Linked DNA regions of Notamacropus eugenii. The protein of the gene in region 1 binds, or shares a complex with, the protein of each later gene. Links are inferred from orthologs where the notes say so. Each region holds a gene or a part of one and is shown in the gene's direction. Other genes may lie near its edges. The genes, in order: OGDH and TCAIM.

Evidence for each region.
Region 2: the proteins of OGDH (region 1) and TCAIM are in contact, whole or in part, in a cryo-EM structure (PDB 8I0K), measured with the Homo sapiens proteins. The link is inferred for Notamacropus eugenii from reciprocal best matches to the Homo sapiens genes OGDH and TCAIM. Residues at the interface, in NP_001425937.1 of Homo sapiens: Gly301, Tyr304, Arg323, Tyr354, Arg356, Ile358, Arg364, Asn365, Lys387, Glu391, Tyr394, Cys395, Gly396, Thr398, Glu399, Lys401, Lys402, Lys561, Met602, Pro605, Glu667, Gly668, Ile669, Asn709, Met734, Ala735, Ser736, Pro737, Asn738, Gln772; in NP_001269842.1 of Homo sapiens: Glu214, Gln234, Arg235, Ser236, Trp237, Gly238, His241, Ser244, His247, Ser248, Arg251, Gln255, Asp272, Arg273, Thr286, Met287, Asp288, Val289, His290, His291, Glu331, Leu332, Gln333, Pro334, Val335, Arg375, Tyr376, Glu441, Ser443, His473.

The regions. Positions count from the first base shown.
Region 1 is NC_092872.1:522,892,421-522,896,324, forward strand, and holds the start of OGDH (2-oxoglutarate dehydrogenase complex component E1), read left to right. Parts: upstream 1-1,264; 5' UTR 1,265-1,422; intron 1,423-3,821; exon of another isoform or gene 3,822-3,904. UniProt on the Homo sapiens protein: 2-oxoglutarate dehydrogenase (E1o) component of the 2-oxoglutarate dehydrogenase complex (OGDHC). Participates in the first step, rate limiting for the overall conversion of 2-oxoglutarate to succinyl-CoA and CO(2) catalyzed by the whole OGDHC.
Region 2 is NC_092874.1:22,531,375-22,535,278, forward strand, and holds the start of TCAIM (T-cell activation inhibitor, mitochondrial), read left to right. Parts: upstream 1-1,549; 5' UTR 1,550-1,694; intron 1,695-2,053; exon of another isoform or gene 2,054-2,447; intron 2,448-3,718; exon of another isoform or gene 3,719-3,785; intron 3,786-3,904. UniProt on the Homo sapiens protein: May regulate T-cell apoptosis.

The DNA.
Region 1 (3,904 bases):
AGAGTCAGCTTTGGCTGGCTTTTGCTGACATAGGAAGAGGCATTCTCTGAGTTTGCTTTAGAGAGAACAAAGAGATTATTCCAAAATTTTATATTAAACATTATCACCTGTCAGACAATATTCTTCCTTGGCTATTTTTTCCCCCAGGGCTAAAGTGCAGGGTCCAGAGTCAGGAAGACCTGAGTTCAAATCTGGCCTCAGATACTTACTAACTTCATCAAGTCACTTAACTCTGTTTGCCTCAGTTTCCTCATCTGTAAAACGAGGTAGGGAAGGAATAGCAAACCACTTCAGTAACTTTGCCAAGAAAATTCCATTTGGGGTCAGGAAGAGTTAGATACGACTAAACAACAAAAAGTTTTTGTTGTTATTGTTTAGCCTAGCACAAACAAGTTAAATGATCTAGGTTTCACAAAACTAGTGAGTACACCAAGAATAATTTGAAGCCAGGACTTCCTGAGGTAAAGTCATACCAGAACACCTCTACAACAGCTGTTCTTAACTGTTCATCTGTCATGGATCCCTTTTTGGCATAATGGCAAAGCCTATGGACCCCTTCTCAGAATAATGTTTGTAAATGTATAAAATAAATTACAAAGAATTACAAAGGAAAAAAGTCACATTGAAACAGCATATTCCATATTAAAAAAATAAACTTCAGAATCCCCATGTGAAAGAGGCTGCTGCTCTCTAACCTACACGTACTTATTCCTATTATCTCATGAAAACATTAATATTTCACTAATCCAATCAAGCGACTGGTGGATAAATGCTTGCTGAACTGAATTTAACTAAGTAATTATTCCATCTCAGATGAGGTTCCAGCCCCAGCTGTCAACATCTAAGGAAAGGCAGGGCCCTAGAAACGATGACTAAGCGCTGTGTGACCCGTGCGGAAAGAGTCGAGAACCCACGTGCGGGCGGGGGCCCCAGGTGCCTCCCTGCTTGGCCCCATCTTTTCTACCGCCTTCTCCGCGCTGCGCTCCAGGGTCTGCGCGCGAGTCCAGCACGCGCGCCCTTCCACTGTCACAACATTCCATTGGCCCTGGACGCCGCAGAGACGCGGAACACTGTGACGTCACAACTCGGGCACAGTGGTCCCTATCTCTAGAGGGGGCGTCCCGGGTTAGGCCTCACAAGCGACAGCGGGCCCAAGGGAGGAAGGTCCTCCCGAGAGGCAGCTGTCCGGTTTCACGCGCCGGGAGTCCAGAACTCGGGGGTGGCACAAATGCATAAACTAGACGAGTTAGGAAACTGAGAGCCCAAGGGCGGTGTTTCACCTTCTCCAGGCTCAGAGGGGGCGGGACAGGCTGCGTGGTGACGTAACACGCCGGGCGGGAGGGGGCGGGGCGAAGGCACTGGTGTTGCCGAGTGTGGGGGAGTCGGTACCTCATTCCCGGGTGGAGCCGGAGTCGGAAACAGGTAACTCCTTTGCTCCTTCTGTTTGTTTGTCTGGGACCGGGGCTAGGTCCAGGACTGGGGCTTTTGCTCCGTGGGCTATAGGGGCGGGATAGCTACGAACAAGAAGCACGGACATCGTGTCCTTGCAGCCGCCGCCCGGGTGACTTGGCCGGCCCTCTGGAGGGGGAGGGGGTTTGGGACTAGGGGGTGGGGGGGAGAGAGAACGGGGTAGGGAGGAGAGTCAGAACCAGGATGAGGCTGAGGGGAGACGGGTGGGGATGAGAGAATTCTGAAAGACTTTCTCTGGAGCCAATGGGCAAGGCTGGAGCGGTTTGCGGGCGAAGATTGGCGGCTGCCGGCGCGCGCTGCGGGTGCCGCGCGGGCGCGGCGAGGATTCTTATTGGTGGCCTGGGATGAGGGGGAGGGGTTACTTCGGCGGGCGGATGTGAGGGAACCAGTTGCTGCCTCCTCTCCCGTGACCCACAAGGTCGAGGGGAGAACATCACGTGGGCATTGGAAAGGAGGTGATCTTGTCCGGACACCTCGTCCCGTTTGTCCCTTCCTATTCTAAGTCGGGTCTGAGCCACTCCCACCCCCATCCCTCCAATCCTGGGCACGCCCTACTGCTCCTTCGAGTGTGTGGCTGCCTTGGGAGTAGAACTCGCCCTCCCTTTTGCCGGGGGACCCGCCCCGCCCCGCCCCGTCCCGCCCGGGAGTCCCGCCCACCTGGCTGTCCAGCCCGGCTGGAGAGCGGCCGGCGGAGCCCTGGGTGGGACGTTGTAGCCGCCTTCTTGTCTTGTTTGTGCCTGGGTCTGGCAGAGCCGGAGTCCCCTAGTGGAACCTGCGTCTTGGATGTGCATTTCCGCTCGGACTCTCGGTTCCTTAGATTTCGGGGCTAAGGGAGGTCCTGGAGGAGACTGGAGGCGTTTTTACAACCACACAGTTACTTTTTTAAAGCCTATTAGTTTTCTCTAAAAACTAGGGAAGGAGCAGGGCCCTTGAAGGGGCAGACTCATCAAGGACTTTATTTTTTGACCTCTCATTTCCGACCTTGCTATATTCCCCCTCAGTTATCTTTCCTTAAGAGACTTACGATATTATCTGCTTCTCTTTCCAAACCTCTGGGAATGAGAAAAATAGTAGTTACAAAGTACTTTTAAACTAGTGTATGAAGTTTAACAGACCTAAGCTGAGTGGCACCTTTCCATAGAGCCTGCTTGTTCTAGCAAGAATATCTTTGTGACAAAGTAACACTTAAAATGTTAGAAGGTTGGCCAGTTGATGACCTTTCAGACAAGGCTGTGAGGCAATAGAAAGACTTAAGATTTTGAAAGAAGAGGATGTAGGTTTGAATCCAGGCTCTTCCACATGCTAACTATGTGTGACCTTGGAAAAAATAATTTCACTTTTTCTCATTTTCTTTTTTTTATGTAGAGGATAACGTGCTTTCCCCCCAATTTTTTAACATTTTTGTTTAAATTTTTGAGTTCCAAAATCTTTCCCCCTCACTTCCTCCCCTCCCCCCTTCCTGAGACAGTAAGCAGTCAAATATAGGCTATCCACGTGCAATTATGCAAAACATTTTCATATTAGTCACTTTGTACAAGAAGATTCAAATAAAAGAAAAACATGAAAGTGAAAAATAGCATGCTTCATTTAGTATGTATTCAGTCAATATCAGTTCTTTCTCTGGAGGCATATTATGTGCCATCATTAGTCCTTTGGGATTGTCTTGGATGGTTGTATTGCTGAGAATAGCTAAGTCACAGTTCTTTGTGGAAAGTGTTAGTGTGTATAATGTTCTCCTGGTTCTGTTCACTTCATTATGCATCCAGTTCACAGTTTACAGGTTTTTCTGAAATCATCCTGCTTGTCATTTCTTAAAGCACAGTAATACTCCTATAATGGAGTCATATACCACAGTTTGTTTAGCCATTCCCCAATTGATGGGCATCCCTTTGATTTCCAGTTCTTAGCCATCACCAAAAGAACTGCTATAAATAGGTCCTTTTCCTTTTTTTTGAATGTCTTTTCCCCATCCTCATTTTCTTGAAAGGTTAGGTAGCAGATGACCACCTCTAAGGTCCCTTCCAACCCTCCATCTCTGATCCTAAAGGAAGAAGGGGATTTGTAGCTTCTCTAATCCACGATCTTTGACAATTCCCTTAACTCCCTGTTCTTCACTTAGGAGTCTCATTTATTCACACTTTCCAGAAGTTCAGTAAAGTGTTTTTAAATTAGTAATAGGGAAATAAAGTGAATTATCAAAGGTCTGCAACATGACTAACCAAGCCCTCAGAATCTTATTAATGAAACTTTTTTTTTATCTTTTAAAGGAAAACAGTTTTGCCAAACTCACCTTGTCTGCTACTCCAGTCCATCTTTTCTGACCCCACTTTCTTTTCATTGCCTTTTGCCAGCTTCCTATCTAGAACTGAGAAAGGGAGAGATGGCAAACTTCATCTACTTCACTAGGCCACAAGAGGTACTATCTCAGGAAGGA
Region 2 (3,904 bases), on another chromosome or scaffold:
ACCTATCCATTTTCTTCTGAATAAGATAAACAATTTTAGAACCACATTCCAGTTTTAGATGTTATGTAAAGTCTCAGGGATAATAACTATGAGGTCAAACTTGCCCTCTTCTTTTAAGACCCCCGAACTTCACTTGTTTCTTGTCTAAACTCTGAATTCACATTTGAAACCAAACGTTTTTCTTTCTTGGATTTTTGTCTCCTGTGAAATTATGAACAGTATTTCTAATACTTTCAAGTGCTAGAACAGCTTCATAGTAGCTGTCCTCGATCTTGTTGTGTTCCTCCTTTGTTTTTGAAGAGAACCATAACATCAGGGAAATGATGACATGACTTGCAGTTGACTGATTTGAGAGAGGAAGAGCTGTGAAAGGTCCCCAGCCTCACTTTCTCCTCCAGAATCATCTGGGTCCAGTGGCCAGACATTCATTAGGACAACTGGAGATGGCCCAGGATGCAGTGGGAGACCCTGGCCCTTTTAGGCCTTCTCAAGTTTTCACTTTGAGTGAGGTAACACCCTGTCAGTGAATAGGCCTCTTTAAGAAGTCCATTAAGGGATGGTCCCTTGGATTGAAAAAAAAAAATCAGACTCGGAGGGTAAGACCCTCAGGGTTGCTGGTCAGAAGAGCAAGTTCTTACTGACATTCACCCTAAGCCAGGAGGGGCCCCAAATATAACCATGAAGGGGAGCCTGGGCAGGGATGAGCTCTAGAGTGAAATGGGCTTCAGGTTTGGTCTCTGAGAAGAGAGAGGAGAGAAAGAAAGAAGACAGACCCTTTGGCCCAGTACTGCCCGGGGAGGGCAGTTACCCAACTGGCTGGGTCCCCATTCTGGTGCTCAGGTCCAAGCCATCACTTCCCTGACGTCATGGTCCTCTTCAAGAAGGCAGGACAGATGCCACCTGTGAGCGGTCCACGCTGCCCCAATGCCCCGGCGGCTGGCTAACTCGGCTCACCCTTGCGCTCTCCCTCGTGGATGACCGGAAGCTGTCCGGTGACCTTGGGGTTTGCCGGCCGGGTTCCTGCCTTCCTTCCGTCTTCCTTTCTCTGTCTCTCTCTCTTCCAAGACCAAAGTTTAAGCCCATCGCCCATCTCACCCTGGGGCTCGCAGACTGGACGACCTCTGCTTCAGAAGGAACCTTCTCTTCTGGCCAGCGGCCTTGAGGGTCTGCCCCGGACGCGCTTCTTAAAGAGGCCTCAGTGAAGCCTCACAAGGGCCAGGGTGTCCCCCTGCATCCCCGACAAACCCGCCTCTGGAGAGGAAAGTCAGGCTGGGGACCCTGCACAGCTCTCTCTTCTTCCCCTACGCGTCCTCTTGAAAAGGACTGGAGTCACCAGAGACCTGGGAAACGTCTGGGAGTAGAAGAAGCCTGGTGCCCGCGAGGCGGTGCTCAGTAGTGTCGGGAGCCCAGCACGTGCTCCTAGGCCAGGGGGCGCCACTGCGCAGGCGCCGAACGGCCGGCTCCGAGCGCCCCCGGGGCGGCGCCAGCCAACCAATGGGGGGAGACGAAGCCGGGCCGGCTCGAGTGCGCACGCGCGGGCGCTACGCTCCTCCCTCCCCACCCCCGCGCGCAGCCACCTGCCGCACAAGTCCCCCACCCCCGCGCGCGCGGGACCGTATCCCCTCCCTCCCCGCGGGCTCATTCTCCCTTAAACCAGACGACGGGAGTGGGCGAAGCTCTCCCGGGACAGGCTGGTAAGGGGATCGGGCAGGGGCAGGCCGAGGGCTGCGGGTAGCACCAGGGTCCCCTGCAGGGGAAGGCTGGAGGAGAAGCACACCGAGCATCCGCCAGAACCAGTGGGTGGGGAAAGACTGGCTGAGGAGGAAGGGCCACTGGGAGCAGCTTTAACTGGTCTCAGGCTGCGCGCGCCGCGGAGCAAGGCCTGGCACGGCTCAGCCAATGGGCGCACGGCTCCCTCAATCGCGTCCTCCTCGGGCCTGACGCAGCCCAGCCAATGAGCGCGCGGACCCGGGAGCGGTCCGGGGCGGGGCCTGGTGCCGCTCATCCAATGAAGTGCAGGGGATGTCTCTTACCCCTCCCCCTACCGTCCTCTTAGACCCTGGATGGGGCGGGACGAGGTCGGCCACATCTCAGCTAATAGACGCGCACGATGGGACCGTTCCCTTCTCTTTATGCTCGGCTGCCTAGCCTTGCCACCTTGTCATCCTCCGTGTAACACTGCAGAAAAGGGCGGGGCCAGGGAGCGAGGCGTGGCGCGGATTAGCCAATGGGCGCGTGGCCCGGCGGCTCCTCCCTCACGTCCTCGCCTCCTCCTCCGGGGGCTCGGGAGCTGAGGTGGGGGCGAAGGTGAAATGGACCGACCGGGTCGGTGCCCTCGCGTGGGCGGCCTTCCACGTACGAATCGGGGCCCCCGCCGGGCCGCCTCGGGGGAGGGAAGGTGTAGCCGTGTGAGCCGCTCCGGCCGCGGGTCCGGGCGTCCCGCCCAGGTGAGCCCCCCGCCGCCGGGGCTAAGTGAGGAGGGGTCATCACCCTGACCTTGATCCTGCCCCTCCCCTCCCCCGCCGCCGGGCAGGCCCTGCGGACCGCGCGGGCCGGCCTCTGCCCCGGGGCGGCCCCGGGTGTTTCCTGGGCGGCGGGAGAGCTCAGGGATCCCCCTGGCCTGTGGGGAAGGGAGGCCGTGGAGACGAGGGGGGGCGGGGTCGTCCTCCCTTTACATCTCGGTGCGCCAGTCCCGAAACTAACGAGAAGCTCCCTGCACTCCCCGCGAACTTCCACGCGCGTGGGGTGGCTCCGAGCCTCTCGTCCGCCCAGCGCTCACCAGAATGAAAGGCCAGCCCCGCCTCTGTGGTCACACAGCGTTTGTCTGAGGGCGACACTAAGCCCACCCTGGACTAGGCACCGCCAAGTGAAGGGGGGTCCGTGCGAGGGCCTGAGCCGGGGCGGGGGAGGGGGAGGGCAGGGCAGGGCACGGCCAGCGAGTGGCATCCAGAGGTCAGAGTCCGCCGGTGTCAGGAGGATGGAGAGGCAGGAAGACGAGGGGGGCGGGGCGCCCTGAAGGTCCCCCGACGGTGGGTTTGAAGTGTCCACTGGGCGGCAGTGAGGCAGGCCTGCGCAGAGGTGATGGTCAGTAACAGAGCCCGCCGGGGTCAGCAGTGCCCAGGAGAGTGTGAACCACGTCAGATCCATGAACAGGTTCAGGAGGGCCAGGACCGTGAAGTGACCCAGAGATCTGGTGCTGAAGAGCCAGATTAGCAAGAGCTGAGCCGGGAAATGGAGAAGAACGGAGGCCACCTTCTCAGGGCATTTGGCCAAAAATGGGAGGATGGACATAGAATAAGTAGCTCAAGGATACGGGTGGTGAAGTGAAGGGTTTTAGGTTCTGGTTGTTTGTTTTACGGATGAGCAGAGCAGACCAGCCCGTGTGAAGTCAGGAGGGAAGGGAGCAGTTCATAAGGAGAGGTTCTGAAAGTTGATTTCACAGGTCTAAGTTGGGAGAGTTGAGTCTAGAACTCTGTCTGAAAAAGATCTGGAGGGTCTTAGTGGACTGCAAGATCATTGTATTCCAAGAGTGTATTATTTGGATGGAGTTGTGATCTCATCAGTTTGCATATTCTCTCCAGGGCTGCAGCTCAGAACCATCTATGGTGACCTTTGTCCAGACTCCCCCTGTAAATATACAGCCACTCTCCGTGCTGGGTGATGTTTGTCCTGGACCTCAGCAGAGGCCATCATGGGTCCATTTCCCCCCCTCAGGTCAACCTCTTCTGGGCTTTCATCTCTCTCATGACTGACATTAGGTCTCTTCTCTTGCACAATCCTTGAAGGTAACGTATTTAATGTGCTTCTGCCTGCTCGTGCCAACCATCCACTTCTCTGGTGCCCTTTGGGTGACCCACAATTGTAAATCTTCAGAGACAGTTGTGCTGCATGATTCATAGCTGTA